Linked DNA regions of Mus musculus: all the other regions are reported to be linked to region 3. Evidence: microRNA targets listed by miRTarBase, many of them from high-throughput screens and not tested one by one. Region 3 holds a microRNA gene; each other region holds the end of a gene's coding sequence.

Evidence for each region. Region 3 holds the annotated microRNA mmu-miR-185-5p (UGGAGAGAAAGGCAGUUCCUGA, at 2,032-2,053, shown strand). A microRNA usually pairs through its seed, bases 2 to 8, with sites in the 3' UTR of a target mRNA and lowers its output. Matches are read on the target gene's strand: a 7mer-m8 pairs with bases 2 to 8, a 7mer-A1 pairs with bases 2 to 7 and ends in A, and an 8mer does both.
Region 1: the mRNA of Ryr2 is a reported target of mmu-miR-185-5p. Seed matches in the 3' UTR shown: 7mer-m8 at 3,299-3,305 and 7mer-m8 at 3,248-3,254.
Region 2: miRTarBase lists Fmo5 as a target of mmu-miR-185-5p. Seed matches in the 3' UTR shown: 7mer-m8 at 3,223-3,229, 7mer-m8 at 3,162-3,168 and 7mer-m8 at 3,067-3,073.
Region 4: the mRNA of Ephb2 is a reported target of mmu-miR-185-5p. Seed matches in the 3' UTR shown: 8mer at 3,409-3,416 and 7mer-m8 at 2,225-2,231.
Region 5: the mRNA of Agpat5 is a reported target of mmu-miR-185-5p. Seed matches in the 3' UTR shown: 7mer-m8 at 2,498-2,504.
Region 6: miRTarBase lists Rnf152 as a target of mmu-miR-185-5p. The part of its 3' UTR that is shown has no 7-base or 8-base seed match.
Region 7: miRTarBase lists Septin9 as a target of mmu-miR-185-5p. Seed matches in the 3' UTR shown: 7mer-m8 at 2,583-2,589.

The regions. Positions count from the first base shown.
Region 1 is chr13:11,551,141-11,555,207 of GRCm38, forward strand. It overlaps Ryr2 (ryanodine receptor 2, cardiac), which reads right to left. Exons shown (of 105, transcript NM_023868.2): 105 at 1,963-3,471. The coding sequence ends at 3,376. Among named protein-coding and RNA genes, the nearest start is that of Ryr2, 550 kb to the right of the region's middle.
Region 2 is chr3:97,651,142-97,655,208 of GRCm38, reverse strand. It overlaps Fmo5 (flavin containing monooxygenase 5), which reads right to left. Exons shown (of 9, transcript NM_001161763.1): 9 at 1-3,727. The coding sequence ends at 3,382. Among named protein-coding and RNA genes, the nearest start is that of Prkab2, 5.0 kb to the left of the region's middle.
Region 3 is chr16:18,325,424-18,329,490 of GRCm38, reverse strand. Mir185 (microRNA 185) reads left to right here and starts at 2,026; the gene lies at 2,026-2,090. The region is part of intron 1 of Tango2 (transport and golgi organization 2); the gene reads left to right.
Region 4 is chr4:136,651,553-136,655,614 of GRCm38, forward strand. It overlaps Ephb2 (Eph receptor B2), which reads right to left. Exons shown (of 16, transcript NM_010142.4): 16 at 1-3,878. The coding sequence ends at 3,770. Among named protein-coding and RNA genes, the nearest start is that of Lactbl1, 31 kb to the left of the region's middle.
Region 5 is chr8:18,881,414-18,885,480 of GRCm38, forward strand. It overlaps Agpat5 (1-acylglycerol-3-phosphate O-acyltransferase 5 (lysophosphatidic acid acyltransferase, epsilon)), which reads left to right. Exons shown (of 8, transcript NM_026792.3): 8 at 325-3,000. The coding sequence ends at 550. Gm35934 (a long non-coding RNA gene) reads right to left here. Exons shown (of 2, transcript XR_870172.3): 2 at 1,718-4,067. Among named protein-coding and RNA genes, the nearest start is that of Gm35934, 19 kb to the right of the region's middle.
Region 6 is chr1:105,280,606-105,284,672 of GRCm38, forward strand. Rnf152 (ring finger protein 152) reads right to left here. Exons shown (of 3, transcript NM_178779.4): 3 at 1-4,067. The coding sequence ends at 3,614. Among named protein-coding and RNA genes, the nearest start is that of Gm17634, 73 kb to the right of the region's middle.
Region 7 is chr11:117,359,755-117,363,817 of GRCm38, reverse strand. It overlaps Septin9 (septin 9), which reads right to left. Exons shown (of 11, transcript NM_001113487.1): 11 at 1,493-3,395. The coding sequence ends at 3,263. Among named protein-coding and RNA genes, the nearest start is that of Gm51932, 26 kb to the right of the region's middle.

The sequences.
Region 1 (4,067 bases), not on the chromosome of region 3:
AAACATTTCCTAACTCTGCTTCCCCATGGAAGTCTATAAGGTCAGAAGGGGCCTGTGGTGGTTCACACTGGCCTGGTTGATAGAGGATAACAGGCTAATTACAGAGCTACATTTGGGCCTTTGATGCGATGGCTCTGTTTAGGAACTGGTTGTGAATGAAAACAAGCTGTATCTTGTCCTTGGAAAAACTGCCAGGTGTGCATCTAAGGAGGGCTATCACATTTGGAAAGCTTTTGCTAAAACCATCCATCTGAATCCATTCTGTGAATCATAGAGAAAATTATTTTCAGAAAGAAAAAAATAGATGAGAATTAATGATTTCTGTATGTGTTGAAGCTTTGTAAGTACCCAGGGTGACCATGATAGTGTTCCTGATAATGTCTGAATGGGTGAGATAAAATATTTCTGAGAGGATGACTATCATGCTTTGAATTTAAATGGTCCTCCAAAGGCTTGAAACCTTGGTCCACAGCTGGTCCTGTAGTTTTGAGAGTCTGTGGGACCCTTTGAACATGGATCCAGCTGGCAGATGTAAAGCCATAGCAGTCAGAGTTGATTTTCCTGCTTCCCAACCAGCTGAACTATAAACAAACCAGATAACAGCGTCTACCACTATGGATCTATTGCCACCATGCCTTCTTATCCTGATAGACTGGACCCCTCAAGCCACACCAGAATAAATCCTTTCTTCCATTATTTGTTTCGTGTCCAGTACTCAATCATAGGGATGAGAAAAATACCTCACAGGATCACATCTCCTGAGTTCGCCTCAGGCAGCCTAGAGAATCAGAGAGGTAGAGTCACACTGTGTTTGAGATTCCCTGAATATTTCCTAGGCAAATAAATAATGCTGATAAGGTTGAATTCCTTTTGTCTCTTTTAGACAGTCTCCCCCATCACAGGCTGACCTTGAACTCACTTGTGTAGCGTAAGGCCAGCCCTGGGCTTCCACCATGGTGTTGAAATTACAGGCATTGCACCCCTATAGTGATTTTACCATCTTCTGTTGGATGGTCTCCCAGTGATGTCCTGCTGTGTTGGTCAATAGTGATTGGACAGGTATGACTTGCACAAATAGCCCACCTGTGTTTTTACTTTTCTTCCAACACTGATGTGTTTGCAACACCCATTGGCTAACAGAACCCTCATTTCACCAATTCCAATGTCTCTTTTCCTGATATTTCTATCACCTCTGAGGAGCTGTCAGTCAGTAAAGTGCACAGATCTTGACAAATCTATGACTTTATTTCCTTTTTTTCTTACCTTTACTATTGTTTTGTGTCTACCACAATGTGGGCATTATAAATAGAAGATCTGAATCTAACTTCCAAATTTGTCTCAAATAAGAATGGTACAGGGATTCATGTTCTTTGATGTGTTAGAGAGCTGACCAGATCTACTGGCTCAGACTCTTTATGACATAAGGTCCCATTTCTGAGAAGGCTTGGTAGCAATATCTACAGTGTGCCAAGATTTATCTCTTCCCTCAAATAAAAGTGACTCCAAAAGAGAAACACAAAAGCCAGGTTCTGGAGCTCTGGTGATGTGATAAGACATAATTGAACAGATGATAACTGATAGCCCTGATGATCTAGCATCATCTCTGTGTTTTATGAACTACTTATTTATGGTCTACTTCTCTTTCCTATTAAGATATTAAGTGGGTTGTAATTATTATGGAAAAGTTCACTTGCCTGAGCAAGGAAGAGTTCTTTAAAGTGAAAGTTGTATGAAAATTTTAAAAGTGGGAAGAGAGTTAGTTGTCATTGAATTACCCCATAAGATAGAAAAGGGTCAAGGTGCCTGGTGAACCCAGCTCTCCTGTTACAAATACTGCTATGTTTGTCTGACTGTGAAGTGTCTGGGTTTGTCCTATACACAATTAAACTGAATTAAAAGCATGGGATTCTATAATTTCCTGGTATATGTGAAATAGGAAGACATAGGAGAAGAACAAGGAAGTTAGTTAAATAGTTTAATTAGAGCCGTTTTACAATTCTAAAATTAACAAGCAGACTTGTAATAAAAGATCTCCAATGTTCGCAGAATGACCTCGCTTCCATTCTGAACCTGTCTTTTTTTAATTGTAAAGATTAGAATTACATTTAAAAGGACTCAAAATGATAAAAAGAAAAGAAAAAAGAAAAACATAAAATGAATCGATGTACATGGTCACCCATGTCTTATGATGCAACCAATGAAATCTCTGAATGGATATTGCTTCAGCTTGGATATCAAAAGATGGCCTGTCAAGGCGTCCTTAACCAATGACTGATCACAGGTGGCCAAAAGAAAGAGGAAAACCCAAGACTACTGTCACATTGGCGATGGTTCCAACTGTCGGTGGATGACACTGACTCCAGAAATATGAGGAAGCCCACAGCTTTGTTACTACGGATGTAATTATCACGAAAGTTCTCCCATGTGGATCAACTTGTTTCTGAGGGCTTTCTTTGTTCATTTAAACTTGCATAATAAACATGCAATGAATTATTTCTTTTGAAAGTTGTATTTTTGCAGTCTCTTTTTTCATACAAAGATTTCATAAGTTGCCATGTAGCATCAGAGTCTTTACCAAAGTGGGGAGGGTAAATGTGACGTAGCTGGATGACAAGAGCCTCCTTCTGTCCTGAGACACACCACCCTTCTTTTGAAAATAGCGCAGATAGCTTTTCTTACCCTCCTCCACCAAAGAAAAGAATAAAAGGGGAGAAAAAAGAAAGAAACCAAAATCACAAAACCATTTTATCTAAGAAAACAAGGTTGATGTAAAGAAAATAAAGGTGTTTGTCATGCACATTATCTTCTGCATAGCTCAACCCACTTATAGTAAGGCACTATTTCCCTTTGCATGGCAACCTGTTAAGTGCTACAGTGCTCTATGACCCTCAGACACTTCCTTCTGGGATGGCAAAATAAAGAGCCTGGGTGAGTGTGACTGCCGTGCTTGGCTGCACAGGTCTGGCAGCTTGTGGAGACTCCATGACCCTTCAGGGGAAGCTGTCCATGGGTGTTATGGTAGAGTATCCATGATGAATTCCTTTCCAGAGTTCCTGGTTAGTCTGAATGCTTATTTGGATTGTTCTTCGGTCTTTGTTTCTCAATGAAGATACATGAGGTGGGGGGAGAACAGTCAGGTCCTCTGAGACTGAGCATCCGTGCATCAGCACAAGATGCTGGTTAGTGGAAAATATGAGTAGGTGTTTCCAAGGTGGGGGGGGAGAGGGAGGGAGGGAGGGAGGGAGGGGGAGAGAGAGAGAGAGAGAGAGAGAGAGAGAGAGAGAGAGAGAGAGAGAGAGGAGAGACTGAGATAGAGAGAGAGAGAGATTGAGAGAGAGATTGCTTTTGGTTTTCAGAGACAATCAAGGTATGATGCTAATTTAACTGGTCTTCATACTGTTTCCGGAAACAGTCCCCTGCTGGGAAAAATTCCCAACACCTCTCTTGGTACATCTTCCAGACGTAAGATTCCTGTAAAAAAGAGAAAATAAGTGTGTTAACCCAGTGTCCAAAATCTATTAGATAACACAGGACAGAGTAGAAGAAGTCATTCAACCCCATTGATATATCATTAAAACAAGAAAAGTCCCATTGCATTCAGATAGCCCCACTTAAATTACCATCACTAATAAATGATCTTCAAATAAACAGAATGTCTTTAGCTTGACCAATATATGATAACAACATATTTTTAAGTCTCTAAGGTTTACATTTATTATGATTTTTAATTTTATCCAAGTTCAAACTATTATCCATTTATAGTGAGTAACCCAGAAGGGGAATTTCAAATTTTCCTAAAAAAACATAGACATTGAATGTTTTTTTCCCAATTATAATTTTGTAAGTGGAAGTTTATTTGAAAGTATAAGCCACACAATAGCCACAATCTTTAAAGAAGAAAAAAGATTGAATTCACAAGGAAACTTAGTATTTTTAGTTAAAAGCTTAGTTTTAAATGTGAAATTAGAATTTTGCTGTCTCTCTCCAGGTAGCATAATTAATATCTAAAAGCAATGTTTTTTCTTTTTCAAATCAAATATGTATGTCTGTGTAGTTATGCACTGGTG
Region 2 (4,067 bases), not on the chromosome of region 3:
GCCTATATTCTTTTTTTAAAAAAATATTTATTTTATCTGTTAAAGAGTGCTGTTGCATGCATGCATGTGCACCACACACATGCAGTGCTCACGATGGCCAGAAGAGGGAGACAGATACCCTAGAAGTGGAGTTACAGACAGTTGTGACGCACTATATGGATTCTGGGAACCAAACCCAGGTCCTCTGCAAGAGCGAGCCATCTTCGACTATCCAACATTCGTCTGAGAAGTTTTTAGTACACTGTAATTCAGGTCAAACTCTGAACTTAAAACAACTCAAACAAACAAAAATCTTGTGCACCGGTTTTAGACTTAAGTTGCAAAGACGACAGAGAGGTTCTGCGTGCTTGTTTTCCTCCTGAGAACATGTCATGGTGGTGCATTTATTAGTTTAACACCAATATTGACACATCATTCTTTACCCAGAGTACACAATTGTTACTAGTTCTTCAATTTTTACTTAGTATCTCTTTTTCTCTTCTTGAATTCTCACCATGGATACTTCCTCAAGGCTCCTGTATGCTAGGAAGCTCTCTCTCTCTCAGACTGGCTTTTGATGACTTCAACAGTTCCAGGGGAGTAAGGTATTCGTAGATCATCCTGAGGCTGCCTGCATGGTACTTTTCTCCTGCCTAGCCTGGGCTATCATCTGAAGGAAAAACACCACAGAGGTCATCTCATGCATACAACTACCAGTGATTGCCAATGCTTGTATTGATGTGGGCATCTGACTGAGGTAGTCTGTCTGACTTCTCCTCTGCAGTTATCCCTCACCCCTTCCCACACTAGATTTCTAAAGGAAGTTAATCTATGCAGTACATCTGAGAGAGCTTTGCTTCATTTCCTTGAGGGGCAAGAACTAAAATATTTAGAATTCTGTGTGGGGGCTTTACTTATTCCATTCTGATAATGTTTCCAATCATTTACCTATAATGGCATGGACTCAGGTATCTTTGTGTTTCAGGTTATAATCCAATACTAGGTTATTTATTGCTCGACATTTATTTCAAATTTGGCCACTGGGGCCACTTTGAAATGATTTCTATACCCCTTTGACATGAGCTAGTCAGTCCATTTGGGCCATTTCTTTATTCTTTGCATTGCAAGAATACATCTTTTGGATCATCAGATTTATCATAGTTGGGTAAGTGACGTAATCTTTTAATATGGCCAGAAGAGCAAAGTGCATGAATTGGTGAATCAGCACACGATCATCGATCAGTATCGATCAGTAACTACTCTTTGTATCTTCAGTTGTTTTAAGTTCAAGGTCCTATCCTAGCCTTACCTTCAGCTTGGTTTAGAAATCAATGATGCTTTTGTAGTTTTGCATATTCTAAGCAGAACGAGAGAGTTGAAGCTACTTAAAAGTACAGGCTTTGAAAGAAGCCTGTGGTATTAGTGCCCATAAGTAGAGATTACATTCTTGGCAGTGTAGTGCTTCAATATCTTTACAAGCTCAATGAGAGGACCTTTACATTGTAAAAGAAGAAAAGTTAAGATGCAGAGCTTCCGTTTATTTTTGAACGAAAGCAATCTTCAGATTAAAAAAAAATCCCAGACCCATTTTAATAATGACAAACATTCAGTTGCTAAAGGATTTCGGAAGGAAAAGGGCCCTAGAAACCCAACCAGGGCTCAGTGCTCAAGTTCACAGAGAGTACACTGGGTAAAATATTAGGCAGCTGTTCAAATCCGTGTATAATTAGGAGTTTGAATTCTCACGTATCTGCTTACATGTATTTGTGTTATTCTCATGCCATTCCTGCAGCGGGTCAAATTATCCTTAGGGAGTTCAAGTGCTTCTGACAGCCAATGCTTCTTAAATCTTGCATTTCAGTTCCACTCCTGCCTTTCTGAACTACACACAGGAAGAACTGGTCTAGGCAGAATGCCCCTAGTTAATACTAATACTAGTTCTAACTTAAGACGTGGAAGAGCTTACTGATTCTTATTATGTAGACTCTGAAGGAAGGAGGGAGCTGGGCAGGGGGAGACTCACACTTGCTGACCCCACCTCAATGCTGGGCGGGGCAGGGGGAGGGAATAATCACACTTGCTGACCCCACCTCCAGTGCTAGCACTTGCTTACTGCCTCAGCTGGATCCTAACACTAGCCCTTCAAGATTAAGCCAGGATAGCTAACTAAAAGCCTCAGGTTCTTTAATCAACCTATTGGAAGACGGCAAATTATTTAAAAGACTTTCAAACTTAGAAGAGCAAATCCTTTTCTGATTTTGTATATTTTGTTGTTGCTTGAGCCAAGTTCTTGCTATGCAAACCTGGCTGGCTTGGAACTCACTCTGGGAACTAGGCTGGCCTTGAACTTGTGGTGATCCTTTGCCAGGAACTCCCAAGTTCTGGAATTACAGGTATGTGCCACTATGTTCAGTCAGTAGTTTCTTTTTTAAGAATATAAAAGCAGGAGGTAGGAAGATGGCTTGGTGAATAAGAGCACTTGCTGTGAAGGCAAGTGGACCTGAGTTTAAATGCCCACCACCCATCTGAAAGACAGGTATATTCAGTTACTAAAATTAATAACTAGTTAATTTATAAAAATAATTTATAAAATTAATGTTATTAAAATTGATAATGGATCACATTAAGAGTTCTATAGAGTTAGCCATTTATTAGATTGACTTAGAGATAACACCTTATTTCATACATATCAACGAGCATTTATTCAGCATGTGCCACATGCCGGAACTTAGCTATTTTCTGTTTTGCCCATGTGATACCCTCACTGTATTAATCATGAAGACAGGAATGCCTCACTGTCTGCACCCTGGATTTTGGACTCCCAGTCTTCAGCACTAAGTGGCTCTTCTTTCTGGACTGCCCTCTGTGGGAATTCCTGAAATAGATATGTGGGCTCTGCTTATAAGGTCAAGTGCTGCCAATATGCGCTTGATAATGGAAGCAGTCTTTTCAAGATGGGTTATCATCCAGCGAGGTCTAGCTGTGCAGTGCTAGAAACACAACAGAGTCAAGCATTAAAAGAACCCTGCTAATGACATACAAAGATGATGAAGGGGGCCTGAGCTCACGGTCTGGGAATGACTAGAGGGAGAGACAAAAGGCTCACGAGGGAGGGAGATGAATCAATTAGTGAAAACCCAATATCACAGAAATAAAACCAAGAAGGATTAATGATTGAGGGAGGAGAGAGAGGGGGAGGAAGGGAGAAGAGAGAGAGAGAAAGTGAGGGAGGGAGAGGGAGAGGGAGAGAGAGAGAGAGAGAGAGAGAGAGAGAGAGAGAGAGAGAGAGAGAGATTGTGATTGATTCCTGTGCAGTATGAAGCTGTGTTCAGTCTCATCAGGTTCTGAAGGTGTGGCTAGATGGCGTTTTCCGGTGGCAGCTCAAGTACTGCGCTGCCACATCTAAAAATAAGCCAGGATGACAGCAAAGAAAGCAACAGCCAGCATGAGGACACGCACTGTCACCAGTGACCCCCCAGAGCTGTCTCTTTCCACCACTCTTGTCATCAGAGGCTTCCGAACACGATCTTCCGTGGTGAGAATAGTTTTCCGGGCTCCAGCCCACTTTCCAGGGCCCTGTAGGCGATACTGGACTGGAGTACAGGGCCCCAGTAGTAACCGTAATGCCAGCCTGGGGTCAGTGAAGACCAGAGGCAGGATATTGGGCCTGACACCCACTAAATCTGCAATCTCTTCCATGGTGTCTATATAGTCTCCCTGGATGGTATGACGCTGGCTGTCCACATACCTAAAGCAAAGAAGACAGAAGTCCCAGGCTATCAGCAATTCACGCAAACAGCAAGGCAACCAATCAGCCAGTCGGTGCTTTGTGAGTGTCTATCTGGGGGTTTGCTATCATGCTAAGGACTGTGAAGAGTTAGGACATTTATCACCTTCCTTACGGACCTTAAGATGCAGCAGACTCTAATGCATAAACACTCTGCTCCAGAAGGCCAGACATGGATAAGCCTTCAGGTAAATATTTCAGGTTGGATGGGGAAATGAAAATGTAGAGAGATCGCAGCTGGCAGGTTTCGGAGGGAGTTATCATGCAGGGGGGTGGAGGGGGGGTGGGCAAAGGATGAGAG
Region 3 (4,067 bases):
TACACCAGGGTGCTCCCCTCTCTGAGTCACTGTGTGGTGACTTCTTGTAGGGCCACAGTTTTGTTGAAGAAACCTCAAAACCATCTTCATTCAACTGATCCCTATCAGATCAGAGTTGTAGTCTTAGTACAGTTTATTACAAGGGATGGGTATCGATTAAAATCAACAGTAGAAAAAGGACAAAGCACAGAATCTAAGCAAGACTAGGCACAGGTTCCTATTTGCCATTTCTCAATGGAGCTGCGTGCCCCTGCTCAATTCTCAGCAGCGGTATGTGAACAACACAGATGGAATTTGCCAGCTGGAAAACTTGCTAAGCTGGGTATCCATGGTTTTATTTTACTAGAACTTGATTATATGGAATTGGCAGATTTCTGTACCATGTGGCTGACTTTTTGTAATATCCAGCTGATAACTACATGTCCCAAGGCCACCATCACAAGTCATAGTAACAGAGCCTATCTGGCATTGCCCAAGGCTTTGTGTTAGTGAGGACTCTTTCCACAAGCAGGACATTCCAAAGAGACTATTAGAGTATGTAGGCTGTAGGTAGCCCAGGTCTCCTGCACTGAGCCTGCACTGTACACACCTTGGCTGCCAGTGAGCCCACTGAGCAGAGAGGTGTACTTGTATTGGTGGAAATGGGGTGCTTGACTTTTTTTATAGAGGCCAAGGACATAGTGTGAGCCCTCTGTCCAGTGACAGGTGGGTGTGAGATGTGGGTGCTCTGGGCTCTTTCTGCACTTGTAACCTCAAGAACCTTTTGGCATGGGTCCCAGTCCCCAGGCTGGAATCTACTATCATGGTCTCAGCCTTTGCTCACTGCTTTCCGAGGAACCCCCAGGACTGAGGCCCTGTGCTTAGCAGGCTGTCACCCTCCTCCCTTTCTACAAATGCCCAGAGGGTTTTTGGTTTTGTTTTCCATTTTATTGTTATGTATATGGGTGTTTTTCCTGAGTGTATGTCCATGTACCACATGTGTGCAGTGGACCAGGGAGCCCGGAAAAGGCATTGGACTCCCTGAAATTGGAGATACAGATGGTTGTGAGCCACCTTGTGCATGCAGGGAAATGAACCCAGGCCCTCTGAAGAGCAGCCAGTGCCCTTTTTTTGTTATTGTTTGTTTTTTGTTTTGTTTTGTTTTGTTTTTTGAGACAGGGTTTCTCTGTGTGGGCCTGGCTGTCCTGGAACTCACTCTGTAGACCAGGCTGGCCTCAAACTCAGAAATCCGCCTGCCTCTGCCTCCCAAGTGCTACGATTAAAGGCGTGCGCCACGCCCGACTCAGCCAGTGCTCTTAATTGCTGACTTATTTCTCCAGCTCTTCCAGGGAGTTTTATTTTTTTAATCTCTCACCATTGTAACTGACTAATCTGACCTCAAGCAATTCTACAGTTTTTATGACCCTGGTCACTCGGGCTTTTTTTGGACTGCCAAGAACAGAAATTCTACTGAAAACCCACTAGCTAATAATAAGCCCAGGAATAGCGAGGTAGAATTATCATGAAGAAATCCAGGCACATCTCTCCCCAGGACATGGCCCTCGGACACAGCCTTATGGCCTTTAAGGACCCCCTGTGGTACGAGCGCTCTGTTGTGGTCCCATGGGCCCTGCTGGTCCAGAGAGCATGGGAAGTATCTAGTGAGTTCAGGGGTGTGAACCCTGTGAGGTAGTTTTGACTATCACGTACCTACTTTCTCTGCAGTGTGCGATCAGAAGGCTAGGGAATGGCTAGGGTTTGCTCTCAGCCCACAGGTGAACAGGAGCAAGAAAGGGGCTAAAGAAGTGGCATAGCAGAAGGGACCTCACCAAGTCCCGAAAAGAGCATCAGACCCTCGGGTGCCGGTTGGAGATGCCTGGCATTCACAGGGGCTTGCCAGCCGCTTCCTGGGAAAACATCTGGGCTTAGGTAAAGGCAGGATCTGTTACGGGAGAGGTATATCAGGAAAAAGGTATGAGGAGTAATTTGCTGGCCAGAGACGGCAGAGGGACTGTGGGGCAGCGGGCCTGGCTTGAGTGGGGGGTGAGGGATTGGAGAGAAAGGCAGTTCCTGATGGTCCCCTCCCAGGGGCTGGCTTTCCTCTGGTCCTTCTCTCCCAATGACTGCGTCTTCATCGATGCTGCAACCCTGAGCTCTGGCAGCACCTCCAACTCCAGGCTGCCTGGAGACACATCGATGGCCTTCCTGTGGACCTTGGAGCCCTCCTCACATCTCCAACCTAGAGGGCTGGTCTGCTAGGGCCAGCTAGGATGGCAGGTCCTGCAGCTGAACTAGAGAAACACCCTTGATCTGGCTATGTCTGCTGATAGCTGCCTCTGCCAGAGGTCCTACCCAGTACAGCCTAGGGAGGACCAAAGGAGTCTAAGAGCCAAAGCCTCTTCCTGACACCAGCAGCTGATAGGAGGGGCATGTAGGTCCAATACCTCCCATAAAGACAGTTCTTTGCACTGCCTGTCTCATTAGCTGTGTCCAGTCCGGTCTTGAATTTATCATTGTTCTGTCACACACACACACACACCCCATAATGCTGTTGGCCTTCGTGGGCCCTATGGCGGTCATTTTTTGTTGTTGTTTTTTTTCAAGACAGGGTTTCTCTGTGTAGCCCTGGCTGTCCTGGAACTCACTCTGTAAACCAGGCTGGCCTCGAACTCAGAAACTGCCTCTGCCTCCCAAGTGCTGGGATTAAAGGCGAGTGCCACCACATTTGAAAAATGACCGGCGGCTGTCATTTTTCAAAGAACTTTGTAAAGATTCCTTTTTGTGCTTTGACCCCTGGTTTTCTCTCTTGCTTTTTCTATCCCATAGCTGTTTTCCTGACTGCTTTTCTTTTTCTAGAATGGCTAGTCTGTGATATGCATGTCAATCTTAATTAATTGCCAAGGTCACTGAATTTTAGGGTTCTTCACCCCACAGTGTGGCTTTGTTTCCTGTTTTATAGAATGCTAGGTATGCCACAATTTCTCTTAGAACAGCCCCATTTTATTTTATTTTATTTTATTTTATTTTTATATTGTGAACGTGTTGCCTGAATGTATGTGTGTACACCATATATGTGCCTAGACCCATGGAGGCTAGAATGGACCCTCTGAGACTGGAGTTACAGATGGTTGTGAGCTACTGTGTGGGTGCTGGGAATTGGAACTTGGTTTTCCTGGAAGAGCAGCCAGTTTTCTCAGTTGCTAAGCCATCACCTCACCTCTTCCTTTTTACTTTTAAAATCTTATGAATGATTATTGTTGTATTTAGAAGTGGGCATACATGCCACAGCATACTTGGGGAGGTTAGATGACAACTGACCTCTTTCCGTTTATGTGTGCATTCCTGGGGTTGAGCTCAAGCCCTGCCCACCATACCCTGCTTTCCTCTTTTATTTATACACAATGTTTCCGAGCTCCTGAAGATAGCTGTGGGTATAGTCCTCCCTTACCCCGAGAGCATTTGTCTCAGCCTAGTTCTAGGGTAGGTCTTTTATGTGGCTTTGACTTTATGCCTTTCTGGAGATTGCTGAACTCTAAGCCCCAATTTGCCAGCTACTCTGGGACAGATGTTGTGGCACTGTCACAGATTGCTGAGGCTGCTAGCTTCCCCAGGGCTCTAAGGCAAGATGTAGCCGTGACAGACTGTCCTGAGCCTCCTTACCACGGTAGTGCAGGCACTGCTTTGGTGGCAGTCTGAAGAAGCTTAATTTCATAGACCCAAGAATTAGAATTGCCAGTGTCTGTCACAGTGATACCCTTGGTATCCCTGGAGCTGGGGCTTCTTCCAAGGCTGTAGTGGCTGTTAGGATTCCTGAAGAAGTGAGTGACAGCTGTCTTTAGGTCTCCAACCCCATGCTTTCTGCTGATGTGCCTCAGGGAGACTTTGAAGGCCCTCACCTAGGGCCCTGGAGTAGAGAATAGGCTGGGTTCTAGGTGTATTGTGCTGCAAAGGAGGGCTATCAAGGGCCTGACCCACAGGCCCATCTTTATGTGTGCACCAACTAGGACCAAGGCCACTGCACAAACCCTCTCCAAACCTGAGAGTGAACACAACCTGACCTGAGCCCTAGGACCTCCAAAGATAGGACA
Region 4 (4,062 bases), not on the chromosome of region 3:
TGGGTGGTGGTCTCCGGTGGGAGTCCTTCAGCAAGGGGTGGGATCTATGAGGGGGTGCAATGTTAGTGAGTGCCCACAAGGGGGCAGCATAGACCTCTCAGCCATAGAGAAGGTGGGCGCTCTGGATACTGGAAAGGGTGGACTTGAGGCCCAGCTGGTAAGTAGATTGTATAAGTGTTCTCTGCTACTCTTGTGTCTGCTCAGAAGCAGTGGGTCTAGCACTAAGGATGTCACTATTGACCATAACTTCTTTCCTAGAGATAAGGTCTTATGTGGCCCAGGCTGGCTTTGAACTCACTAAGTAGCTAAGGATGCCACTGATCTTCTAACCCTCCTGCCTCCATTTCTTGAGTACCGAGTTTACAGTCATATATTACCATATCCGGTTTATGCAGTGCTGGGGGGTGGAACCGAGTGCTTTGTGCATGCCAGGCAAGCGTGCTACCAACCTACCAGCAAGACACCTTCAATACCGGCTCAGGAACAGGCCTGTTGATTGCCACTAACAGCCCATTGTGAGACTTCTGGGGTGGGTGGCACAGCTCCGTCATACTTAACTTGGCCCCGAGTGGCTCTTCCAGGCACACTCTCCCAGAGCAGCTGGCCCCACTTCCATGGTGCCCTGGCCCAGGTTCACAAAACAGCTTTCTTTCCTCAAGAAACAAGCTTGGGCTGAACAGCCGGAAGCGGTTCCTGATGCTGGGCAGGTGGGAGCTAGTGCTTGGGGGGGCTGGGAGTGGGGAGATGGATGGGGGGTGGAGCCAGGAAGGGATTAGTAACTAGGCAGCAGATAGCTCCAAGCTGTGTGCCCATGTGAGCGGGCAGCCTAAGTGGAAGGCGCTTGGCAGCAGGGCCTACCACTCCCTGCTGAGCATTGAGGAGTGGGGGGAGGACGATGTCTTGTAGTTGAGAAGTGAGCAGGGCCTACACTCAGGACTGCCACAGTGACGGTGTCTGTTTGGTACCCTGAAGAGGAGACAGAAGGTCTGGATAGCACCCGTATTCTGGAAGTAGACATGTAGAGTCCTACGGCTTTACACGAATACTTTGGGCACTAGAGGGTGGATGGGCAGATGAGCTGGCTAGAAGACGCCAGCCTAGTGGCTTAAGGCAGGAAGCCATCTGACGGAAACACTGACTGCCAGGCCTCGTGGGGCTCTGGGGTGGTGGGAGGTGGGCTGGGGAGACAGTTAATCTGCAGAGCATCAGAGAAGCTCCCACCAGAAGGTGACCTTGTGTGCTGGGACAGCTGCCATCCGCGCTGGGTGTCTTTGGGCCATTAAGGGATGGCCAACGGGCCGCTGTTTGCTGCTTTGTGGGAAACTTGCCAATACTTGCCCTGTGTCCAGGCCCGCTGTCCCTACCCCAGGGACAAGCTTCCTCTCTAATCCCTTCCTTCCCTCTGCTCCCGGGTTGAGAATAGGTGAAGGACAGATGACAGGCTGAGCCACGATGGTTTTGCTCACTGCAGGGTCTTTTGCTGGTGGCCTGTGGCCTCAATCTTCCCCCATGGATAGGCTCCTCAAAGATGCTCACCAGACAAAGGAAATGGTCCTGAGATGAGCTGTCTCTGGGATACCCCTTCCTCTTCTAACAGTCTTATCTGCAGCACACACACTTCCTGCCTCCTTCTCCTCCTCTTCCTTCTCTTCCTCCTTCTCCTCCTCCACACAAAAGAACTACTCACAGTAAGTCCGAGCCCTTAGCACAGGAGACAGCATTGTGTGGGGGAGGGGGTTACATTTGTGGCTGAATGGGGTCCACGGGCCACCACTTCTAACGTGGCTTACTTAGCCAGGCACTGTACACGCAACGCAGAGCTGAGCCAACCCAGTGCCTACGCTTCTCTGCCTGTGCTTCTGATGACCCTAGGCTAAGAAGGCTACATGAGCTTCTTTGTTTGTTTGTTTGATTGCCTCCATGAGTTTCCTCAGCCTGGGCCTTTTGGATCCTGAGGGGCAGGGGGAAGAGTCCCTTGCAAGAGCATTAAAGTCATTTGGCAGGTCCCAAAGGTGCCAGGATCTTTTTCTTGGAACTTACAGAGTACAGGGGTCATTTTATAACTAAAGCATTTATTTCCATTCAATTCACTAACCGATTGTTCTGCTCGGATTCCCTGCATTTGCTCACAGGGGAGCCTGCGGCCAGACCCCTTGACTGATGATGGTGTTCCTCTGGCCAAGACCTTCAGACCCAGGCAAAGGCCTCGGGGAAAGAAGGAGTGGGAGAGAGACAGAGAGAGACAGAGAGAGAGAGAGACAGAGAGAGAGAGAGAGAGAGAGAGACAGAGAGAGAGAGAGACAGAGAGAGAGAGAGAGTCACGTGGTCTCCCGGGGTACCCTTGGAGGGCTGGGGTGTCACAGTGAATGATCAGGGTCCTGACTTCCCGGGTAGCCTGGTCCAGGCTCCCAGACATGAAATCGAGTTTTGGCCATTGAAGAGCACCCAGGAACCTGAAGGGGCCTCTGTGCCTGGGAAGTGCCAGATAGAACAGGGCGGAGAGCATGAGAGCAGACAGGGAGGAAGGGAGGACTTCCGGCCTTGGAGCCCTCATCTGCCTCCGTCTGTGGTCCAGTGTGGGCGCTGATGTAGTTCCCTCCACTCTCCCAGTCCCACTGAGGTCTCTGAGTGGCCCAGGTGGCCCTGTGACAGTTGGCTTTGGTGAGGCCTGGCAGCAGGTGGGAGGAGGGAAGGGTATCAATGAAAAGCATATAAAAAAATCCAGAAATGTGCATATAAAATCTCGCCCTTGGTGTATTGCCTAAGTCAGTAAGCAGAAAGCACCTTCTTCCTGGAGAAGGATCAAGTCCTCAAAAGGTAGGAAATGTCAAAGTGTCTCTTCATTGTCATTTTTTTTTAAAAAAACCCAACAAACAAAACCCTCCCAGACCAAAACCACCCCTGATCAAAATACCCCCGGTCCACGGAATCGCTGTAAACAAACCCAGATGCAAGAGTATGCTTCTCTGTGGCAGTCGAGGCTGATGACAGTCACCTGCCTCCTCGTCCTCTGGCTGAGGCTGATCAGGAGCAGGGCCTTGTGGGGCTGCAGACCTGGGTGGCTGTCCTCAGGAAGATCTAGCCTGTTTGGCGTGACCTGGGAGGCCAGGAGCTCCTCTTCCGCCTCCTGAACCATTAGCAGAAAGTCTCTCGGAGTTTTTGGAAACCGTCTCCCAAGACAGAACAACTATCCTCCTGTCTGCCGGTGGCAGCTGGAATGGACTTCCCCGGAGCCTATCTGGGGCGACTGCCTGTCTCTCTGCCCCTTGTGCCTGGGGGCTGGGCCATTAGTGATGCTCCAAGAAACGGCTAAGGCCAGGCAAGGAGGGTGGCTCACCTCTTCCCTTCATGTTAATGTTCCTGGAAGTGTTTCTTGGCTCTGGCCAGCTCAACCTTCCCAGAAGGAGTTGGAGAGAAAATGCTTTTTGGCCTTCACGGGGACAGGCCATGTGGATCTCCCAAGCCTTTTGCTTTTCTCCTCTAAGAACCGTCACTTCCCTTATGAGAATCCTCTTGGAACGAACGTCTCTTGCCTGTCCCGCCCCCTCCCAGATCTAGGTGCGTGTCCCCCCCACCCAATCCCCTTTTCCTTCCTTTGACTTGCATGGGCTCTTGGTGACGGCTTGGCTGGAGTGCTGCTTGGTTCTTCCTGTTGTCTGTGGCCTCCTGGCAGGTGGCTGACCTTGTAGTGGACAGAGCAGCAGGGGGACCGATGTAGGGGGGCTCAGGGGGCGGCGTGGAGGAAGAGGAGAACCGAGGCAGGCGAATGTCAAACCTCTACAGACTGGATCTGGTTCATCTGGGCCCGCATCACCTGGATACTGTTCAGGATTTTTTTCTGGTGGCCAGCTAGAGTGACCCCAACGCGGAGAATGTCCCTTTGGGAGAGATAGACATAACTAGGAAAATGTATGTGTTGGGGGGGGGGTCATGGGCCAGCAGCCTAAACTTCCCCAGGCCCTTAGTGAGGGATGGGGAAGGGGTGTGGGGATGGGCATTGGGTGTCAAAGAGAGAGTAGAGATTCGGGGGTCCCAACAGTCAATGGGGAGGCAGGAGGCCAT
Region 5 (4,067 bases), not on the chromosome of region 3:
ACACACTAGCCAACACCCATCTACATAAAAGTATATAAACATATCTTTATCTTAAAAATCCCCGAAGTCCTCATTAAATATCTTAGATCCCCGCCGTGTTTTGATTTTTGTTTCCCACGTGGTGAGGATATAATATCATGTCCATACTGTAAGGCGTGAATGCCCTCCCGTGCCTCTCGGACACCTCTGCACTCATCCAAGTTTTCTAAGGAGCTGTACTTGCTCAGCAAGTACTCAATACCTAATAAATGGTTTATGTTTGTTTCAACACCAAAAATGTCCAAAACTGAAAGATCAATTCTGTTGTTTTCCTTCTGGCCATAGGTTGCTCATAGAGTTCTATGATTCACCAGATCCAGAAAGAAGAAACAAATTTCCTGGGAAAAGTGTTCATTCCAGACTAAGTGTGAAGAAGACTTTACCTTCAGTGTTGATCTTGGGGAGTTTGACTGCTGTCATGCTGATGACGGAGTCCGGAAGGAAACTGTACATGGGCACCTGGTTGTATGGAACCCTCCTTGGCTGCCTGTGGTTTGTTATTAAAGCATAAGCAAGTAGCAGGCTGCAGTCACAGTCTCTTATTGATGGCTACACGTTGTATCACATTGTTTCCTGAATTAAATAAGGAGTTTTCTTGTTGTTGTTTTTTTGTTTTGTTTTGTTCTGTTTTAAGCCTTGATGATTGAACACTGGATAAAGTAGAGTTTGTGACCACAGCCAACATGCATTTGATTTGGGGCAAACACATGTGGCTTTTCAGGTGCTGGGGTTGCTGGAGACATGGAAGCTAAGTGGAGTTTATGCTGTTTTTTTTTTTTTAATGTTTTCATGAATTAATCTCCACTTGTAAAGATTATTGGATACTTTCTGTAATTCAGAAGGTTGTATTTTAACACTAGTTTGCAGTATGTTTCGCTATATTGGTTATCTTCCATTTGACTACTTGGCAGCTCAGACTCTTAATACTAAAGTATTTTACATTTTGAAGCTATGTGATACTGGTTTTTTGTTGTTGTTGTTGTTAGTTTCTGAAAGTCAATGAAAGACACTGTAATGATGCGTTAAGATGTTCCAAGAAAAAGGTGAGAATTATTCATGGCAAAAAAGATCTGTCTAGTGTATATTTTTATTATATTGCTCTATTTAGCTAATTTTCTTTATATTTGCAAAATAATGAACATTTTTAATATTTATTAAAATGCTTGATTTGCATACCCCCGATTCTACAGAGAATAATGTGTAAAGTGTCAGAATAGACTTGAAGCTCTGCTGTGACTCAGTCTCCTTTGTCAGAGCTTCTAGTAGCCCAGCTACTGAGCTGCTTTGTTAGTACCTCCAGCACCTGAGCCGTTAAGTACTTATAAATGCAAGGGACCCGTTATCTTCATATCGGAATAGACATGAACAGAGCTCTAAGGCGATGAAAGTCTGCCAGCATCCTCTCTGTCCTCGCACGTGCCTTCTGCCTGGCTCCATTTGCTTTGGCACTGCGTTCGATCTAGAGTGTAGGTGCTCACTGCTTATTTCAGCCCTGGCTCTGTGGTTTTGTGTCCTCCAGTGGTGCTGTTCACTGTTGGGGTGCAGGTGGTGCTGCCCTGACTCAGAGGGGCAGCTCCCTGGCTCCTGAGGGTGAGCCTTCTTGGCTACTACAGAAGTATTGTGCGTTTGTTTATGGCAAGAACCATCAGGATTGGATAAATGTGTTATTTCTCTTTGATTTCCATGGAGCCACACTGTTGGTACATGTCCCCTGTGAACAGAGCTACCTTTCAGGAGCACATCATACTGTCGTGAGTCACGGCACGGTGTGTCCTGTGAGAAGAGGCTTTCTAACGTGTGATTTGCCGTGTTTCTATGTTGTGATTTAAGCGTGATTGCCTACTAGTCATTCAAGGTAACATTTCTGCAAATTTCATACAGATTTTTGTCACAAAATTACTATACCAATGATCTAGTTGAAATAGACCAATTGAATCACAATAAATAATTTTTTTTAATTGAGGGAAAATTTGCTTCTTGTTTTTTCAAAGCCAGAAAACGAGCCATTTCAAACATCTTTGAAGAGTCATGTGCTGTCACTTGTTTTCTATGTGTTAGTGTCTATATTCATGTATGGATACACATGAACATGTATATTCATACACACACGCCAATAGAATATAACAGCCTAAAAACAATCCAGCTTGTGTATCATGTTACTGTGCTGAATTGTAATGGTTTTTACTTACAAAGTGAGGCTAAAATCGATTTCATGTCTTTGTTAAATACGTTTTTTCAGCAATCCTATTAGAGCTTATTTTGACCAGATCAAAATAAGTACAAGTTCAGAGACTTTAAATATGGCTGAGGTCTAGAGCGATAGCTCAGTAGTTAGGAACACATGCCACTCTTTCAAGGGCTTCAGTTCCCAGCACTCATATGGAGGCTCACAGAAGGCTGGAATTCCAGCTTCATGGAATTGGACACATCCTCTAGCTTCCATGGATCTGTCTGTCTGTCTCTCCCTTCTCTCTCTCTCTCTCTCTCTCTCTCTCTCTCTCTCTCTCTCTCTCACTCACTCTTTAAATATCATGGATATGCTGTGCATTTAAATTTTAAGACACAGAACCATTGGAATTACATGGATTATAGCTGATTCTCTTTGAACAGGGCACAGTGTTCTGCGTAAGATCTCTTGATCATTAGCACTGGACTCACTCTCCTCACAAGTAGCCTATCAAATGTGGTATTAGAAAATACATTGTGTCAAAATCTTTGAAAGATGAGAAGAATCTCCTAAACATGTTTATTTTGACTTGACATCACTATTTCCTGAAAATTAACTGTCTATGATTCTTTTCACATAGTGTAAGATCTTACTTGTATCACCATCAGCTTGCAGCTTAGGGGCTGCAGTTGTTCTCCTTCATAAGACTGCCATCCGTGTGCATGCTTTTATGTTTTTCAGAAAGGATGTTGGGATGAAAGTAAGAAAACAAATAAAGTCTCTTCTTGTCTCTCATGTCTGTGATCACTAGCATTTCACAACTCAGGGATTCATCCATTTTCCAGCAGATAAAAGGGTTAGCGATTAACCCTGCATTCTGAGTTTAGAAAGCTACAATATTTTTTAAATATTGAGCAATGATTTTAAAAAAATACATTGGAATACCCCAAATTGTGAAGCAATCCAAAAGTTGGACTGTATAAGCTAATTTGCCTACTTTAAAGGATGTGACCCTCACCCAGGAAACCTGTAGGATTTACTTAACAAAGCTTTACATGAAAATGCCACCGTGGCCATTTCTTAAACACTGGTGGCTTCTTCCAGATTTCATTTCTATGTTTGTTTGTTTGTTGTTGTTTTTTTACTTAGATTGCTGTGAGGTTTTTTTTTTTTATAACAAATATACATTTTTTTCTTTGTCACATTACATGCTTTGTCAATCAAATGACCTAACTAGGTTGGCTATTAAGAAAACTACATATTGAAATCTGCCAAAATGTCGGCATAAACAAACTGGCTCCTAATTGTGTACCAGATCTACATTTGAAAGAACAGAAATGTCTCACAAGACAATAAGGTCATATGTAAAACACTAAATAAACTTTAACCTCAACAATTGTTTCTGAAGTGTTGAGATTAAAGACTGAGTGTTTGCGGAACGTTGACATGTCCATGGCCAGGCTAGTTTCTCGTTTTCTTTTTGTCTTAAGACTAAACATTGGCTGGCTTAAAATATTACCAGTTCTATATAGTTTACATTATAGACAGAATATATAACATTTAAGTATTAGTATGAAAATCAGTACTTTGGTGAGACTAATATTTGGAATATCCAGATGATTTGATATCATGTAGGTAAAGTAAGTATTTGTGTGACTGACTGAACTTAAAATCTCTTATTCATATATCATGGATAACAGCTGGGAGTTGTGACACATGGCTGCCATCCAGGCACTCGGAAAATCCAGGTTTTGAGAAAGAGAGTGTTTTCCAAGTCAGCCTGGTCTATATAGCAAGCTTCAGACTAGCCAGGACTGTGTACCAAGATCTTCTTCACACCACCCACACAAACAAGAGAAGT
Region 6 (4,067 bases), not on the chromosome of region 3:
GCCATATGGGAATATTTAATTTTAAATTTCTTAAAATTAAATAACATTTAAAAGTCATTTCTTCAGCCATCCCCACCTAATTGCTTAACAGCCATGTGGCTAGTGGCCACTCTACTAAACAACACTGAACAAATACAGAACAATTTCCATCAATCCCAAAAGTTCTATCAAACAGGACTGACTTAGAAAATTCCAAGAGCTGAACTAGCATACAGCTGAAACTCCAATGGATCCACTCTGTGAGTAATGCAGAGGGTGAAATTTAATTCTGTTTCAAAAAAAAAAAAAGCCTCAGACCTTCCTGATAATAAGGTGTGACTGAAATTCAGAACTAATTTGCCTTTATCATTACAATTTATGTCCCAGGTCATTATACAAAATTTTTCTAAAGACGACATATGAAGTGCCATACTTGGCTCTACTTAACACGGTAAGCATTCTCTTGCTTATATCAAGATCATTAATAAAGAAGAAATTCATGCTTCTTATAGGTTACTATTTACACAACACTCATCGTCCTGGACATGTGGGGGGCAGGATCCTGGTTTATGTTTTACACTTCTAAATATTCGAATCACATGGTTTGAAAGTTTTCTTTTAATACCTTCATTCATTCCTAAATCAACCCCCCCCCTTTTCTTTCCCAAAAAGAAGCTATCTAAAAAGAAATTAATATCTGAAGCAACCCTCAAAGCAATAGCTGACACAGGGCCTTCCCAGACTCTGTAAACAATCATAGCCTGAGAGGGAAAGTGGTGTGCCTCGGGAGGAATAACACGGCACAGCAGGACACGGGTCTTGTCTTCTTGCTATAGAATTACAACCTGCACACTACTGCTCTCTACATACCCCAATGAGCTCATCTGCAAGATGAAGCCACTAGAGCCTCCTTTCAGCTGCAACTGCTGTCCCTGCCACTGGCATGTGATTCTAAGCCCTGGCTGCTTGCCCCACATGAGATAGATAAAGTTTTAGTGTTGTGGGTAAATTCCAGAATAAACTGAAACATCAAGTATATAGAAGTTGGCAGGCCTCCTTGCCCCCTCCTCTAACACACAACCACACACACACACACACACACACACACACACACACACACACACACACCCTAATAAGCACATATGCAAACCATAGGCAGAATCCATTTCAACCGTTTTAAATAATGTCTCTTAGACCAAGCACACATAAAAAAGCTTTGACTTGGGTTATTACTGTCAGGTTGTAAGGTCAAGAGTCTACCAGGGAGCAGATTGATTTTGCTTAATTACAGCTCTAACATGAACTTTTTAGGAGTTCTGTGGACAATTTTACTATACAGCTTTGCAAGAAAAACCACAGGACACCATATCAACACACATGTTAGTATCTATAAATAGCCTCCTAAACAACTAGAACATTTTCACACACTGTACTATAGGATCACTCATTTTCTACTGTACAGGAAGGTATGCTGATATCTCTCACAAATGAATTTAAATATGGCCTGGCTTAAAATTGCAAGAGTAACATCCATTGGAAACATAACATCCTTTACGCAACATTTTTGTCTATGTGTGTTTTCTCCTCCGAGAGAAATAGAAAGTGGGTCAGACATGCATTAGAGCAGCCTGAGAGTTTGAGAAATTGATGCTAACCCAACAGTATATTATGTTACATAATAGAGGATAGTATTCAGCTAATGATACCTAAATTATTAATACCAAATAAATCCTAGATTATTCGTTGTATAATGCCCAATAGCTTACACGATAAAATGGTATTTTAACCTAATTTCTAGTTTGAGCCCTCAGATACATTTTTTTCCTAAAGGTCTTATAAATTTGAAAGATTTTAAAAACCAGAGCTCATAATTTGATGTTGAATTTTCATGTCAATTGTTATCGTTGTACTCTAGATGTTATTCCTCTGTTTTATTTCACTGCAAAGTCATCACTTTAGCACACGTCTGTTGTGCAGCTTGAAGATGAAGGCCAGCAGGCCAATCATGCTTCCATGTTCCAGGGCTGCTTCTGACCTTGCTTAGATCCTGTGCCACTCTTTCCTTTCCTTTGCCTTTCCCACCCTTTCCACCATTTCAGGGATTCAACAGAACAGCAGGGAGGAACACAGCTGAGTGGAGTCCTTGACAAACATCACTCATTCCACAAACAGAGTTCAAAGAGGACTATAGCGCTGGCAACTCTTTCAGAATACACACAGCCAGACTAGGGACTGCTTCTTTTATGCTAACAGATCTTTCTTCATAAATTCACATTTAAAAATAGTTGAGCAATCATGAGAAACTGGTTCACTTACATGGTGAGCATTTTTGTTCACCGTACTACTTTTGGCAGTAGAAACATTTGAAATACAAAACATTTTCTTGAAAGTTCCAACAAGATGAAATTGAATTCTAAGCAGGTTAACTCTTACAGGAAAATCTTTCAAAGAAAAGATCATCAAGGACTGTCTATTACAATGCCCATCTAGGTATGCCATTGATTAGCAACATTTGTGACTTTGACACAAAGCCCTCCAAACTGAGGGAAAATGACGAGTTCTTCTGATGCTCTGTCTGAGCCTTTACTGACATGGGATCACTATACACAGCAAAGTGCAAGTGGATGTTGGAGGTGATGTGGGGGAAAGATCCAGGCACCGGCCAGGAGGCTGGTGTTGTAGACACTTGGCTTATGCACGCCCACAAAGTCTTACTCCCAGGATTCTTCAGGAAAAACTCAAAAACCTGAGATAAATTGAATTACACACACAAAATACACACAGAGATTCACAATATTTACACTTTAAATTCTTATCTTGTGAGATGGCTTGAGAAAGATTGGCATATAGGTTTCTTAGGGAATTAGACATTGCCTATATATTTCCCTGTCCATCACTTGCCTGTTGGGCTTCCAGCTTAACAAGCACAGAGCAAGCTTAAATCACAGATGAAGAGAAATGAAGGAACTTGGCAAAGCACAACACACTGAAGACATGTGTGCAAATATTTTCTTCAAACAGCCAAAAGGTCTGTTTTGATTATTTTGATTTGGGTGCCATTCAAAATGTATAAAAAGTTTATGAAGACCAGGGTTCAGTCACACACACATACACACACACACACACACACAGACACACACGCACGCACGCACACACACGTGAGCATACACACACAAACATGCACACACAGGAGCCAGCTCTGGGTCTTCACTGTTTTTGTTTTTTAAACATGGATTTGAGGTTTAATTCTACTTGTGTACACAGCATCTGTTTTAACCTACCGTCTACCGTATTTAGAGAGCTATTGCACCCACATGTACATTTTCATGTCTAAGTAGAAAAGTCTAACTTGAGACCATGATTTAGGAAAATCATAAATTACAGCCCATTGGATACACAATTATGAGGAAGCATGCAAACATCTTCATAGTTGTCACCATCTTGAAACTGTTCTCCTGGGATCTTGCTGAGACCTCACCCTCTGCACTTGTCTTTAGGTGAATCAAGTGACAATTGCAGGCCAGCGCTTGCACCAAATGTGCAGTGTCACCCCCATCTCATCACAGGGATCCCATCACCAACACCTGCTCACCCCCTAAGTTGGCACCCACAAGAGGCATCCCTGTGAAAGACTTCAACCACAGGATATCACAGTGAAGCGCTTAGAGATGCAGGACATGTTGTGTAGCACAATGCCCAGGAGGAAGACCAAAACACAGGCCACCAGGATGACAGTGCACACGCCAGACCATGTGGAGCTCTTCACCACGCCCCTTCTGTCAGGCTCCTCCTCCACAGCCTCCGGGGGAGCTCCACCCTGCAGGGGCTGCTGTTCTGCAGGGATGGTCACCACGGTGAGAGACTTCTGCTGGCTCCCTGGCAGCAGGCGGCAGCCCATGTCTCCCGGCAGGAGTGTACGCTCCTTAGAGATGGGCAGGGGCAGCATGTAGCACCCATTGCTTGGAAGTTTGATGAAGACTGGGGTATGCTCGGAAGTGTGTGGTATGGCAATGACTGCCAAGACCTCTGGGTCATCGGGCAGTTGTGATACAGAGAAGCCCGGGGGCAATTTGGTGATGCCACGGCAC
Region 7 (4,063 bases), not on the chromosome of region 3:
GCATGGGGTCCCACACCATGAAGCCACCTTGTCCTTTGTCCAGCTTCCCCTCCCTCCTCCCTTTGGTTCTAGCTCTGATAGTTCCATGGAAAGCCCACATTTACATTCAGGGCTGGAGCCCACATTGCATAAGCTTGAGTTCCTGAATGTGGGTCCCAGCACCTGAACTTTTTTCCTCTTAGTATGCCTGTAACCCCGGTACTGTGGAGAGTAGAAAGGTGAGAATTCCCTCATTGCTAGCTAGGAGGCACAAGAAAGCCCACGTTCCTGGGCAGATGAGAACGGCTGGCCACTCTGGTCCTACAGTGTCTGCTTGAGTGGGAGGTGAGGTTTCCCCCATCACTGGCTTGGAGGTGCGGGTGAGCTGGGCTGGTGGCCAGTCAGGTTAATGAGCTGACGACTGCCTAAGCACCTGGGGCTGGAGGGGACTGGCGATGCACAGAGAACAGTTCAGTCTTGAGGAAGGAGGAATTCGAGGTGTACTTGTCAAGGAACTTAGAACTGGGGGACTCAAGCAAGCTGCCTCCATGGACCAGACCCCCTCTACCAGTGCCATCAACAGCCAAAATCAACAACTTGATGCTTGGTTCCATGAGGCCGCTGAGCACAACTCATTGGCTGATGAAGCCCGTTTGTCTTCAGGTGGCCTTCGGAAGAGTGTGGGCAGGCCAGAGAGGTAGGGTCACTCCTTAGACCACTCACTCGGCTTGGTGGATGCAAACGAGCCTCGGGTTGTTCTCTCATGCTGTCCCTGTAGCTCTGGAACCCCTGAGACGCAGGAAGGGAATGTGGGGAGGTGATCGCCCCAGATTCCCACCTGCACAGAAGCTTAGAATAAAACTTTATTTGAACACAGGATCTTTACAGATGTAATTAAAATCAAGATGAGATTATCCTGGGCTGAAACGAGTGTCCCTCAAGAGCAAAGTGCATGGACCTGAAATAACGCAGTCCCCAGGAGCAGGGGTGGCAGGGGACTGGGGATGGAGCCATGCCAACACTCGGTCCCGGGCTTCCGAATGGTGAGAGTGTACACTAGTATTGTTCCAGGGTGTCTGGATTGCAGTCACTTGCCACAGGAGCTTGGGGACATTAAAGCACACAGAGAGGGACCCTCCCCTTTCCTGATTCCTGTACACAAAACTGGTTGGCTCAGCCAGCCTCCTGGGACCACACATGGTTTAGTTCTCTTGGAATAACATTATTATAAATGGCCAGTTACCAGGGTCTCACATAATAAAATTTAGATTTGTATTTATGTGTATATGTGTCTGCCACATGTGTGCAGGTACCACCAGAGGCCAGAAGAGGGCGTCAGATGTCCCACAAGCTGGATTACAGGCAGTGGGTGTGGCTAACTTTTCACCACTGGGCTGCTGATTCCTAATTCTGGATCTCACACAGTCCTATAGCTTCCTTCCACTGGGAGCCTCTACTCCCGTGCTCCCCTCACCACCTTTAATGGACCAGACAGGTCTTGCCAAAGAGAACTCCAGAAAAAAAGTTTGTATTTGAAACATTTATTTCAGGAAATACATTTCAACACTTTGTTATTTATACAAAAAAAAAAAAAGAGAGAGAGAGAGAGAGAGAGACTTTTCTGCCCCCCCACCAGGAAGCCCCCAGCAGAGGGCCACGTGGACCGGCCTGGTGAGACGAACAGTTTCAATACCTGGTTACAGAGGCACAAAGTCATCCTGATGACCGGGTTGCTGCTAAATCCCCAGGGTCACTTGGGCTGGTGAAGGCCGGAGTGCCCTGGGTCCAGCGTGCTGGAGATTTCCTTCAAAGTCCTGATTTTGGCAAAAGAACTTGGCAAGCTGGCAAGCGAACTGTTCGGCCACAGGGCATGACGAGGGGCCCTTCCATGCTTGGATGAGGGAGTAGACGCCCAAAGCAGGAAACAATGTTCGTCTCCATCTGTCTGCACCCCACCCCTCCCACTGCACTTCTGGGCTGCAGAAAGCTAGCCCTGGGTCTGTAGAGGCACCTTCCCCAAGCGGGTCCAACCTAACGCACCTCACCAAACTTTCTCCTCAGGGGCAAATGAGAATGGGAGGCAGGCAGGAAGGACACGGCTTTGGTCAGCTGTGCATGGATGGTCCCTAATGTTCCCTCTGAGAGAAGATGAGTGAGCCTGGCTATCCATCTCTGACCCCCTCATCTTTCCCTCTTTAGGGGTATTTTTGATGGGTTCTGGGGCACAGGGCTAGTCTAGGCTCATGTAGACAACAAAATGGTCAGGTTTCTGGCTCCCACCCAGTACAGTCACTGAATCATCAAGGCTTGAGCCTGGGGTGTGTGGGGTGGGACAGGGTGAGGCAGCGGAGCATCAATGTAACCAGAATATCTTGGCCCAAACTGAGGACCACGCGGATATGCCTTCCGCGGCACCTGGGCAGGAGAGCTCCCACACACTCTTATGCCTCCCTTCCACGGCTTCCTCCCTCATGGCTTCGACTCATCTTCTTGCTTTGACCTTCCTTACATTGGGGGCGGGGCTTCCTAACATCGGGGAGCATCTTTCACGCTTCGTCTTTTATAATTAAAGCCCAGTGTAGTAGCGATATCTACAGCACAGGGGAGAGAGAACCCAAGGGCGAGGGAGAAAAGATACCTCCCTCTCTCCAGCACGTCCCTGCTTTTCACCCAAAGGGACATCTGGGAAGAGGTGACTGGCTCTTGTAGATCAAGGCACTTTCTGCTCTGGGACAAGCTCGAGGGGCACGGTTGTCACTTTGTCTAAGTGATTGGCAACTTTGGCTGTGACGCCTCTAGTTCCCTTGAGGGGCAGGCAGCTGAGGGCGCTGTAAGAAACGCCCCCGGAGGGGCAGGTGAGGTTTCAGGAATACCCGGCCAGCTCCATCCTCCTTTGGGGCAGTCTCTAACCTGCTTGAGGCTGCGGCCATGGGGTCTTGTGGTCTAACGGGCTCCTCTGCACCCCCTAGGACTTGGCCCCCACAGGCTTCAGCTTAGAACTCAGAGCGGGGGACGGACACATAGCTCTTCTAACCCCTCAGGGGCTGAGCCCGGGTGGAAATAGAGCACAGAGGCAAGCCCAGGCTTAGCCCCGCCCACCCTGCTGCTGCAGCCAATAAGAGCACACTTGGGAGGTAAACCCTCTCTTGTTACCTGGCAAAGTGTGGGAAGAGATGGATGGAGGCAGGTGACAAGGAGATAATTATATAAAATAAGACAGGGTAGGTGGGTGGGCCAGGGATGATGAAAAGATCTGGGGGTGGGGTCCAGGGGCGGGACGCATCTACATCTCCTGGGCTTCCGGCTCCTTCTCGATCCCGTTGGCCATGGCGCTGTTGCCCTCGTTGAGGCGTTTCACTCGGTAGGCTTCGAAGTGGATGTTGCTGGTGATGTCTTTGATGTTTTGCATGTGCGTCCTGCAGGGAACATGGCCAGCATTGGGGGGGAGGGGGTGACCACTTAGCCTGCCTGGGATGACAACCGCCTGCCCCTCCTGGCTCTTAGAGCCATCCTGCAGGCTCTCTGTGCATACCCAGCAAAACCAGGTGGCGTTCACTCGCTCTCTGGTAACTTTAGACCTTCTGTGGCCTCACATTCTAACCCGTACCCCCGTCTCTGTGTTCACATTGGCTAGTCAGGGGCCTGCACAAGGATGGAGAACTGGGCACTAAAAACACAAAGCTGTGGAAGGTCTCAAGGCCTTCTTCACCAGTGAGCAGGACTTGGGTATTCGTGCTCCAAGACAGAAATTCATGCTGTGGCCAGCAGGAGGCAGCAGATGACCACAGTCCCCAGCGCTGCCTACCCTGACATTCCTAAACTGACTTTTTAAACAAAGTTTCTTTTTGCAGGTGGGAGCCAGAGCCTTAAAGCCTGCCAGGCAACTTCTATCTATGGCCCACACTGCAGACCTCCCCTCCTCTTTACTTTGGGAAGGGGAGTGGGAAAGGTGAGGAGCCCGGAAGGCTTTATTCCTGGAATCCCCACCCCAGGCCCTCAGACAGTCCTGCCTGGCAGGACTTTTTCTACTAATGTATATTAATCACACAAATGAATTTTTTCTTTTAGTTTGTTAGTTTTGTTT